2 linked regions of the Schizosaccharomyces pombe genome follow. The protein of the gene in region 2 interacts with the protein of the main gene of each other region in a pairwise test. Each region holds a gene or a part of one and is shown on either strand. Other genes may lie near its edges.

Region 1 (6,138 bases), on a different chromosome or scaffold from region 2:
ACTACCTTAAGTCATTTAACAAACAGTTATCTAGGCGCAATGCCCCAGACATTAATAATCCGATTGCAGATTTCCAAAATAGTTTTCAAAATTGGCAATCCTGGGTGGGAGATATGTCACATGGAGACATGCTTTCTACCTTTAAGCTTACAGGAGAAAGCTCAAATGGTAGTAATAGTACTCCAAACGAAGCATTCCAACCTTTTGACCAAACATCATCTCTCTATAATGTTCCGGGTCTAAACAAAAGTTATGTTAGTAACCAACCCAGTTTGCTCACACCTGAAACTTTTCTACCGGATCCAGTTCTCAATTTGGAAGTTGATAAACAATGGACGGCTCCTACGTTTTTGAGTTGGACGGAACTGCTAGGCCCTACTAATGTCTCTGAGCAGTCTTCGCATACTGCAGAGCAAACTTCAAATTTGACCCTTGAAAAAAATGGATGAATCTTTAATGGTTTTTTGCAGGTCTTTGTTTGTTTTAATTATTTCTACGTAATTCATCATATGCTTTGTTCGCGTGGTTAAGGAATTAGCATTTAATACCAGTTTAGTAATTTGCACTTGAGAGTATCCTCATCAATCTAATACTTTAAATTTTCTCTTACTTTTTAAAAGTTAATTAAATTTCATTACTTTTTAAAATATAAATGAGTCAATGTAAATGCAGTAGAAATAATTGCGTATTTTATTGTTAAATATAGTGGTAATTTACATACGTAGTCAAACGACTTGAGATTAAGTAGAAAAAATCAAACCACTTCAAAAAATTATTAAGAAAATTGTACAAACCAAAAAAGAGATAAAAAATCCTTAGTTGATGAATAGAGTTACATAAATGAATGACTAAGCTGCTGAAATGACTCATCTGAGCAATTGGCATATGTTATGGCTTTTTGATAATCATCCTCCAGTTGCTTAATACGACTGGCATAGTAATTATCATCAATTGCACGCATTTCTTCACCTGAAAATGAGCCCGCGGTATCATTTAGTTTTGAGCGAACATCATAATAATCTTTAGATACCTGAGGGGACAAAGACAAAAATTTTTGCTGACTGTTGATAACATCAGAAAGTCTTTTATGTAAATCATTGTTATCCGGGGCTTTTGTTTCTTCAGATGTCATCAAATTACCAAAATGATTACGATATTTTGTAAACACACCACCAGAAGGTATGTCAGATTCTTTTGAACTATGTGCAGCACTAGCATTATTGAATGAATCCTCTTCGTTAAAGTATGATCTTAAGGGAGAGGAGGAAGCTGAAAAGTCCGTAGGAAGATGAACGTCAGTAGAGTCCTTTCCTGATAACTGTTGATTCATTTTTGAATCAGCCAATGCAATTTGTACCTCAGAGAGCTTACGCTGAGTAATTTTTGCTTGCTCGGTAAGATCATTGACCTGATCAGAAAGTTTACTTTTCTCTGTCATTACAGAGGAATATGAATGCTTTAGATCATAGAGCTTTTGCTGAGAATTTAGTAGCTCTTTAGTGCGACCCTCACAAAGTCTCTGGGACTCACGTAACAACTCGTGAAGCCCTTCTAGCTGAGACTCCAAGTAGGAGATCTTTTGTTTCGACTTCGAAAACTCTTTAAGATTATCTTTATTTTCGTTAATAGAAGATAATAACTTTGATAATCCGCTTTGCATTATAGCTTTCGAGTATTTAGCATCAGACACTGATTGTTCTAAGGCTGACTCCAACTCTAGCGCACGAGATTGCAAATTTTCCAACTCAATCCGAACATTCTCATATTCGTACTGTAAATTTAAGCACTTCTGTTGCAACGTACTTTTCTCATCCCTTTCTCTACGGAGCGAATCTTCAAAAGACAATATGGCAGTATTGGACACATCAAGAGCACTAGCGGATGCTTCAATCACATTTGTCTGCATCTCCACTCGATCATGCATCTCAATTAGCTTCGTTTCCAGCTCATAATTTCCATACTCCAAAGCCTCGCAACGAGAACGATAATCGACTAACTCTTCTGAAATTTGCAATATCTGTGATTGTAGGTTTTCATTTTCTTTTTGTAAAGATAGTATTTTTGATGAATCTTCTTCAAACACACTACGAAGTTTATCATAATCTACACAAAGTTTCTCATTTCGAGATTTTAAGAGTTCAGAAGCGGATTCATTTTGCTTCAATAACTGTTGAAGTTCAGTATTTTTTTGATAATAAGAGGTTGCCTCTTCAAGAGTCCCTTGAACTTCGTACTCTAACTTTCCAACTTTTTCTATTAAAGATCCAACAGTTTCGTCCGTTGTCTTTTTCTGGATCAGTGAACGTGAATAATTTGCATTTTCCACGGCAGCATCTCTCTGAGCAGCCAATTTTGCGTTTTCAGATGCTAGGCTAACGATTTGCTTTTTAAACTTTTGTTCATTAGATTCAAGCATTTGCTCAATCACCTTCAGTATTTCCAAATAACTGAGCTGCTCTTTTTTCTCAAGCCTCAATTTTTCATCAACGTGTTGAAACAGGTTAGGAGGTTTGAGAGTATAGCCTTGTTGCATACAATATAACAGTTGCTCCTCAAGCCAAGCTACACGATCATCAGAATTAGAAAACTTAAAATCTGATTGGAGTTTAAGCAGAGAATTACTTTCACTTTCGTTGATTGGAGATGAAGATTCGGAAGACCTAGAAATAGTATCGTTTCCATTAGGTAAAGGAAGAGACGCAATAGGTTTCTCAATTTCGTAAGCAAAGGGGTCAGCTTGCCCAAACTCGTGAAGAGAGAAATCTGCTGAATGATTCATTCCAGAGGTTTTACTAAGGTTTCTCAAAGAATGTAATCCTTGTTCATCCAAGCTAGCATAGTGCCGATGCCTAGCTGATCTTACGGCTTTTTGATTTTGCTCCAAAAAATTGTTAAATTGACTAGACGAGGTGGATGTCACAGAATTCTTTTTGGAATGATTAGGACGGTCGTTTAGGTAACCAAGAGAAACCGTGTGGTTTGAAGCATTTGAAGGTTTCATGCTAATATGCTGAAGAACAGGAATATCAGAAAATTTATCCTTATCCCAATACAAATTTTTGGGATCTGCTTCATAACATAACAGTTGCTTAGGAGCGTCAAGTGCATTAAGATATAATAGTAAAATATGATTGTTTTTTGAAACAATTTTGTATGAAGATGAATCAGAAAGCAAAATAGGGATCGGATTTGAGACTAAGGACCACCGCTGTTGACTATAATTAAAAGCCCAAAGCTCGTTGAGTATCAACCCTTTATTATCACGACCACCATAAATGTAAACCGTGTCATCTATTGTAGTAGCTTGATGACCTTCCCGCGGACCTGGAAATCTTCCTATAGAACGAACCTCGGTCCATGAAAGTGTTTCTAAATCAAAAAGCCAAAGATCACTTAATGGACCAGTATCATTATGCCCTCCATGTACAAATATTTTTCCTTGGACAAGAGTAACTGAGTGATTTGAACGAGGTGGAGGGGATGAGCTATGCAAAAACGGTGTTTCCCATGACCAATCAGTCTCATCAAATTCCATATTAGCCTTTTCAACATTATTTGCATTTGCCTTTTGCTTGAGTTCTGATTGCGTCCTCCGATCAACCCCTTTGGTATCAAACAAATGTATATCATTCAAATATTTTCCTTGACATTCACCCCCAAATATCCATAATTTAGAGTCAACTAACAACATAGAATGTCCAGTGCGAGGCGATGGTAAGGGGGACTGTGTTGAAACCAAATTCCATTGATTACTCTTGAAATTGTATGCGTACAATGAATTATCGCCAACTTCAAATGTGGAATCTGTTTCTGAGTCGCATCCTCCGAAAAGATAAATAGTGTCAGCAGAACAAACGATAGAATGACCAACTCGAGCAGGAGAATCATTGTCTTCCCCTCTATTGTGAGAATAAACCGTGCATGAATCCAGGTCCAACTTAAACAAAGAGTTTGAAATACCAGATTTTTCTCGTCCTCCATGTAAGTACATGAATTTTTCATTCGCAGCATCTAGACAAGAAGCCGGTTTTACAGCTTCCCATTTAAAACTTTGGTTCGTAGATGTCCTTTTATCATTTTCTTTGACTTTGCGAACAACCCATGCACGTATATTTTGCTGATCAATGCTACCGGATTCCACTACATCAAGCTGTTCAGCAGACACATCCTGAGAGTTATCCGATTGACGGCTTAAAACCTTTTGAACCATGTATTGCGATCTTTACCTTGCAAAATCGCTTACTGGTTTTGCAGTTGCAGATGGTAATCAAAGCGAAAGTTTAATCCAAGGAGTTTTTTAAAAGGTTCGGTTTTTACGCTTAAAAAAGAAATAAAATAGAAAAAATATATATTTTAGTTTTAAAAAAGAATTAAAAAGTAAAATTTTCGAAATAATATGAAAAGAGCATAACTTGTGGAGGGTAATGGAAACACACAGTCCATCAGGAAACGGCAACTTAGAGTAGAGAAGTCTTAGAACAACGAATACAATTGCAATACCCTACAATAAATTTTTGTAATACTGTATGATGTTTATAATTTATATCTTCATTAAACATAAAGAAGGGAGAGTAGATACAAGTTTAAGCGCAATAGTATACATTACCGTTGAATGCTCTGTTTGAATTGAAATTTAGAAGTACGAAATATGCTTCACGTTTGAAAAGCTTAGAGCAAGAAAAATGTATTTTTCCAATTACTCTATAGGATAGAATTTAAAATAGACAACCACAAAAACTGTTATTTACTTTATAAGCTAATTGTAGTAAATGGCCTACAAATATTACAAAATTTGATTTATAAGGCACATTTTAAAAATAAAACATTTGAAAACACATGCTGGACAAGTAATCGGACAAAAAAATAAAATTGCGATAAATGAAGCAAATGAGCGTCAATGCAATAAAAATCGATTCAAAATGGACCGATAAAAAGTTAGGTAAAAAAAAGTCGTTCAATTGGAATCCAAAGAATAATGTGTAGTATAAATTAATGAATGAGGTCTATAACAGCATCACATGGGATAGTTTGCAGGACAAGAAAGAATAAATAAAAATAATGAAGCACTAAGCGAAGGGCATAAAAAATAAAAATTTACTCTGAAATCGAAGAAAAAGAACGTAAACTCATTCGTATCTCCTTTAGTACAATCTCATTAAAATCTTCAGGGTTATCAAGATAGCAATGGTGACCAGCATTTGAAATTATGTGGTGCTCCGCCTCAATATTCATCTCCTTCAATCTGTTTGTCGCTTCTAAACCAGCAACATCATCCATCCAATCTTTATCTCCATACATGAATATAGTTCGACACTTCAACATGCGCAAGCGATTCATAATACATCGTCTAGCGAAAGCTCCGGGAGCGAGCAAATTGCCAAGTGCATACTCGCTGGAACCCTTGAGACGAAATATTGAGTAGCAGTAATTATGTAATGCCCTAAACGTTTCCGGGGGAAGCGTTGAAAACCTTCTGCTAGACCAAAAACTCATTAGTTTAGGACCTAAAGGCCCGCTTAAACGAAGTAGAGAAAATGGTGTAACATTTTGCTCCCATAAGAAGGTGATAAATCTTGGAAGAGGATTCTTTGGCTTGCTTGGCCGGGAAGGCTCTAAACCTGTAGTTTCCTCTTGGGTTTGCAGAACCTCATTAGTAACATTACTTAAAGGAGGTTCATCCATAACAGCATGCACAGCAGAGGAAGCAACGGAATTGTAAACTTCCGCATCATCGTTGCTTGCAAAAGGGTTTTCAGGAATGGCAACTGGACTAACTAGTAAGAGTTTCTCAACACGTTCCGGATATTGCATGGCGTAGACAGCAGACAAATAACCTCCCATACTATGGCCCACAAGGATCATTTTCTCGATACCATGACCGATTCTCCATGTTTCTAATGACTCAGTGAAAAACCTCTCTGTTTCTTCGACCTTCTCTGAAGCGGTTTGCCCCTTGATATCGAAAGGCGGTCTTGACGAGTTTCCCATGCCTAGCCAATCAACAAAATAAGAATTAAAATCCTTTGTCACACCCTTAGTCAAACCATCCATGTTCCGAAAGTAAAAACCAAGACCAGCTCCATACCCATGCATGTAAACAATGCTTCGCTTGTTCGCTTTTCCTGTTGCTTTATCACT
Region 2 (5,851 bases):
TCGTCGGTGGAGTCATCGGAAGAAGTTTCGCCTTTCGTACAGTTTAGATCATGATAGTTTTTGGGAGTAGAGGAGGGATGTATAATATCAGGCTGCTGGTCGTAGTTCGGAATTACGGATCTCAGAGTAGACTCCATTTGTTCTAATCTAGAAACGAGCGACTTAATGTACATTTGTCTCTGACCTGTTCTTCTTTTAGGTCTAGCTGTAAATACGCATGGGATTCCGTGACTAACGCAATTCGAACATGCAGGTTGCTTTCCATCACAGCGAATCTTCCTTTTTCTACACATGTCACAAGCTCTAGGAATTCTTTTTGGTTTCCCCATGTTATCCCCGTGGCGAGGTGAGTCTTCCTCCGGCGATGCTGATTTCAAATTTTCCATCCGGTAACAATTTTTTCAATGTACAAGTGCAACGACAGTCGATTAGCAAATATTAAGATATGCCAAAGATATTAAAAAATAGAATAAAAAAGCCAATCACTTAGCAATACCTACAATATAGGACGTTCGTTTTCTGAGTAGTTAAAATGTGCGGGTCCAAAAAATGTTCCTTAAAAAGTATTTTCAGTAAGCGATTTATTATGAAATAAAGCTTTCATTTATAAATTAAGCACCAATTATTCGTTTTTAACAATTCCGATAAAAATTTTTAACCAAGTTGTGTTAGTCACGTTGATGCGTGTAGATTACTATATCAATCCGATTTTACGAAACTTATCGTGCTGAGCAATTGGGAATAAATGTAGAAAAAATACAGAAGCTCATTAATTTTGATGAAAGTCGTTCAAATTTTGATTTAATTTCATTATTAAATACTGAAATTAAATAATCAAAATAGTTTTTGCGAACAAAAACTAAGTTATACAGGTAGGTACATTTACCACATACCTGAGGGGTAGCATTAGAAAAACAGAACGAAAAGTTACATAAATTAAAAATAAAGCTTTTTGTTTTCTTTGGAAACGGATCAAAATTGAATTAAGACGGATCGGAGGAAGTCCGAAGTCCGACTTCTCAAAAAACATCTCATCCCTACATTGCAAACATAAAAGTTCGACACTAGATTTCAGAAAGCTTTTGCGAAAAAGAAAATTAAAAAAAAGCTTTTTCAATTTAATTTTGCTTTCATAAACTCGCCAAACTCCAAAAGCTATAAATTATAAGTTCCAACTTACCAATGACTGTAAATCAGTGAGGTGAAATAAATTGCTTTTTCTTTTAATGGTCTGTCGTTCATTCATAACACCGATTTAAATGAACAAAAGAAAAAAAAATCCTTTTGTTCTATTTGTCGTACAAAGTAATTCATGCCCAGTCTAAAATAAAGTGAAGTTCGTAGAGAAAAAGAAATGTGGGACAAGCAAGACTATCCTTTGTTAAACCAAATAGAAATTTAAAAGTTCCTCAAGAATATGCCATTTAACCTCCAAGATCGGATATCCAGGTTAAAGAGATCTGAAAACCATGACCAATCGAACCCGGTATAAATTAGTATGAGTTAACGCGATATGCACCACATGAGTTCAACGTTTCTAGTTTTCATTATTCGAAAAAATATGAAATTCTTCCTGCTAAAACACTATACTAAATGTTCATATGTTATTATTGTTCAAAAAACAAGGCAAAAAATTTAACATAACGCTCCACAATAAAAAAAAGATTTGAAACATGTAATTCTAGAGGTTATGTGTATCCCAATCAACGTTAATGATAACACGTGTCTTGAAATGAGTATGCATTAAAACGGAAATATAATATGGATATAAGCAGACAGGAAAGTACGCACGTGAACAACCATTAAATTAATTCCTTCAAGTATTACGATTTCCTTTGGATATCTGAATCCTTCATAGACACATGCTTTCGACGCCAATCCTTAAAATATTAAAAAAAACAAAAATAAATTTTACATCAAAATACAACAAAACTTCTCTAATTTGGAACCTTTCTTTTTAGGAGGTTTTTCACTTTTTTCAGAAGGTTTTTCTTTAGGTACTGGTGTTGCACTAGCAGCTGGTTGTGTATAGTCTCTGGTTACATGAGGTGGCATTTCAGATTCGTGGACACTCAAAGAATTCTGAATTGACGGAGCAGCTGGAGGATCTGGTGACCCATCACCAAGGGCGGGTACAGAAGCCGAAGGCAAAGGTGAGCTTCTTGAGTAAGTAGGTCGTTTCGGTGAAACTTGAGGTGTAGGAGTTAAATTGGCGTAGTTAGGTTGGTTCAAATTCACAGTGGAATCATTGGCATCCGATTGAGGAATATCTGACTCCTGCTCATCTTCAGTATTGGTGGAAGTAAAACGTGGAAATGGACTCCCAGTATTCGGTTGAGGTTGAAAAGAACGCATTGATTGAGAAATGGCTTCCGAAGATGCTGTACTAGCGTTGTCTTCAGAATGAGTGTCTACATCATATACAATAGGAGAATCACTCCTCGAAATGCGATTCGGTGTTGATTGCGTCTGCGCGCCAACCTGGAAAGGTCGATCTGCATCATTGTAGGAAGATTGAAAAGACGATTTACGAGATTCAGAATCGGTTTCTGCAACCTTCTTGGGATTTTGAGAAGGCGAATAAGTAACGGCGGCTTTGAGAGACTCATATTCAACTGAAGAAGCAGGTACGGGAGACGACATATCTGGCACAGATACAGGTCGAGCCTTCGCGGAAGAAGAAGAAGAAGCTGGCGTTTCATTGGCAGGTGGTGAATATGGCTGCAACGGCCAAGCAGAATTCTTAACGTTTAATTTTGGCAACGTTATGTCCTTTGGCGGATTTTCCAAATGCGACACAGCGCGCATCGTATTTTTGGATAACTGAGCAATGGATCGTTCCAAGCGTCCCATAGTAAAATTCAACCTAGAATCCAAGGTCGAAGTATCAATTAATGCTGGAGATGCGCTTTTTGTCCTATAAGAGTATCTTCCCGGACGAGATGAGTCCTGTGATGCTTCCAATATTCTCCTTCGGCGCTCACTTCCAATGTCAAAGGTTCGAAAATTACTATTAAAAGATGATCTAGCTCCCTTGGCTGTTTCAGAGGGAGATCCTTCAATGCTAATATCCTCTGACGTTGAACCATTGGCACTTCTTTTTGGAGATTTAGACGCGCTTCTCTTTACATTAAACCCAGAAAACGTATTGGGAGAAAAAGACTTGTGGTAATTACTTGGAATATAAATACTACCTGCTGTAACAGGACGAGCATATCGATTTACGTATGCATCTCCGTCTGGATCTAGTACACTTGAACCAGTATCTTGCTTGCTGCTTGGCAATGGTAAAGAAAGACCTCGTTCAAAACTATCGGTATTATTTCTCCGGATAGCAGGAGTAGAAGGAGCACTTGTACCTACATTTCTATTATCGAATTGAAATCCGACGGTAGTGTTTGGTCGAGGTTTTTTTGATATCTAATCATTAATGCCAGCAAGCTGAACCCTTAACTAGTGAAAAGGGGGCAGCCCAAGCAACACTTGTTAGCAAATCATTATTTCAAACAGGCAAGATAGGGTAGTACTCGGAAAGAAAGGCTCCATTCAACAAATTGAACAGCTGCAATTTGCGTACAGGTGCAACTTTCATGTCTTACATAAAGAATAAGAGAAACTACCTCTGATCTTCTTAAAAAATTAGCATACCTCGGATGTCTCAGGTCTCCAAAAAGAAGGAATAGCAGGGCTTTCAGATAAAGCCGACATGCAATCAAATAAAAGAAAAAGATCAATTAGAGCCAAAAAAGAGAGTAAAAAGAATATCCAAAACTGGGAATTGGGAAACCGGTGTTTGGCTAACAATTAGTAGTACGCGGATCGCGACGCTAATTTCCTCAGTTGAGCTGGTATCGTGTTAAATATTTTGTAAAAGAATATTTCCCTCTTTTTAGTAATGTTCATGGAACAATTGGTGAAAAACATAATATTAAAAGGTCACAAGAAAATTTTTATAGCTAAAATATTCTTTTAAAAATAATTCGAGCAAGTTCTCAGGCAGGTGTAGGAAATAGATGGATATTTAATAGAAATTACCCTTGAGAGCAAATAGAGCTGATTCCTTTATCCATGTAAGATGGAAACATAACTTTTGACGTCCCCAAGAACATGCACTCTTAGATAGGTAAGCACATCAGTGATGGAGTAAGTGTTGATATATCCAGGTATTGCAGACGAGTAACAATAATGAAAGTTGAAATGGAGAATTGTTTACAGCATGATATCCTGTTCTTCAATTTTTATGCAATTTGAGTCCCCAACAATTGAATCGATCAAATGGGAGAACCCACTAAATTATTGAAGAGTATTTTGAAAAAATAGTTGAGGTATAAAATACCCAAGAATTCAACCATTAAACGATAAAATCAACCGAGAATGCGCTTTTGCTGATATGAATTTATATGAAACTTCTTCTTTGCTTTTCAGAATAAAGTTATACATACAAATAAACAATTATTTACGCCGAAAGCAATCAAAGATCCTTAGAGTATTACTTATTCTCTTAAAAAAAATTAGAGCATTACTACTTCTGGTTAAAGTCAGATTCACACTTTGTTCAATTATCAAACACATCCCATGGATTGCTTTTTTCGGTACCTTCCTTGTCAAAGAAACAAAAATTAAACTTAAAAAGAGAAAAAACAAGATCTTTACGAAACTGAATTAGTTTAATTTGATGCATGAACGTAAATGATAACTAGATATTTGAGGTCAACATGTCAGTCTACTGCAGCAGAAGTTTTAACAAAAACAAAAAGAATAAGATTTTGGCAACAAACAGCTTTTTTTTTTTTTAATTATCATTTTTCGGACTTATCATGTTTGTATAGGAGAAACTCACATTTCAAAGAATTCATAACACTATCATCTCCACAACCTACATAGTAACCACCAAATGCGAAATTGGTTCGAGAGCAACTCACCAATTTAAAACATCCTCTCTCTTATCTAGCAATTAAATTTTTATATACCAGTTCCTTCATTTACCAAGGAAATCTGATAAAGACCCAGACTTATTTAGTCTTGCTTATTGACCGGTTTATCACTTCTTCATTCATTTGACTTTAGGAAAAAGCATCGAGAAATCAACATGTCTTTTTTTACCCAGTTGTGTTCTATGGATAAAAAATATTGGATCTCTCTAGCTGTATTGTCAGTTACTGTTTTGATTAGCGCATTATTGAAAAAGAGAGCTACTGAAACCGAAGATATTGTCGTTGTTCATTACGATGGCGAAAAGTTGAATTTTGTGTTGCGACAACCAAGGCTGAATATGGTTTCTTACACTAGTTTTCTTCGTCGCGTGTGCAACGCATTTTCAGTAATGCCCGACAAAGCGTCTCTCAAGTTAAACGGGGTGACCCTCAAGGATGGTTCACTTTCCGACCAAAATGTGCAAAATGGAAGTGAATTAGAGCTCGAATTACCCAAACTGAGCCCGGCAATGCAACAAATTGAAGCATATATAGATGAGCTTCAACAGGATCTCGTCCCTAAAATTGAAGCCTTCTGCCAATCGTCTCCCGCTTCGGCACAAGATGTTCAAGATTTGCATACACGCCTTAGTGAAACATTGTTGGCTAGGATGATAAAATTAGATGCTGTTAATGTTGAAGACGACCCAGAAGCTCGTCTTAAAAGAAAAGAAGCTATTCGTTTATCTCAACAATATTTGAGTAAACTAGATTCCACCAAGAATCAAAACAAATGAAAAATGTGTTATAATTTAACAATTCTTAGTTGCTTGGGAGACGATGGTTCCGTCGGCTATGGTTTTTTGGATATGTAAAAACTGATTGACTAAACAACTCCTACAATATTTTTCCGTTTCTAACAACTTCTATACCAAGGT

Evidence for each region.
Region 1: the proteins of mod5 (region 2) and tea3 interact in binary tests that used the Schizosaccharomyces pombe proteins (3 or more experiments, as listed by UniProt).

The regions. Positions count from the first base shown.
Region 1 is NC_003424.3:3,213,858-3,219,995, forward strand, and holds tea3 (cell end marker Tea3), read right to left. Parts: upstream 4,417-6,138; 5' UTR 4,211-4,416; coding exon 833-4,210; 3' UTR 656-832; downstream 1-655. Other genes in the region: DNA-binding transcription factor Thi1, read left to right, coding at 1-449; cardiolipin-specific phospholipase Cld1, read right to left, coding at 5,095-6,138. UniProt on the Schizosaccharomyces pombe protein: Acts as a cell end marker required for efficient new end take-off (NETO), whereby growth is activated at the cell end to generate bipolarity in extending cells. Also required for proper placement of the septum.
Region 2 is NC_003423.3:791,118-796,968, reverse strand, and holds mod5 (Tea1-anchoring protein Mod5), read right to left. Parts: upstream 3,803-5,851; 5' UTR 3,709-3,802; coding exon 3,649-3,708; exon of another isoform or gene 3,421-3,648; coding exon 1,912-3,420; 3' UTR 655-1,911; downstream 1-654. Other genes in the region: prt1 (transcription factor), read right to left, coding at 1-386; BAG family molecular chaperone regulator Bag102, read left to right, coding at 5,090-5,710. UniProt on the Schizosaccharomyces pombe protein: With tea1, acts in a positive-feedback loop in the microtubule-mediated regulation of cell polarity. Involved in the anchoring of tea1 at the cortex as well as the correct localization of tea3.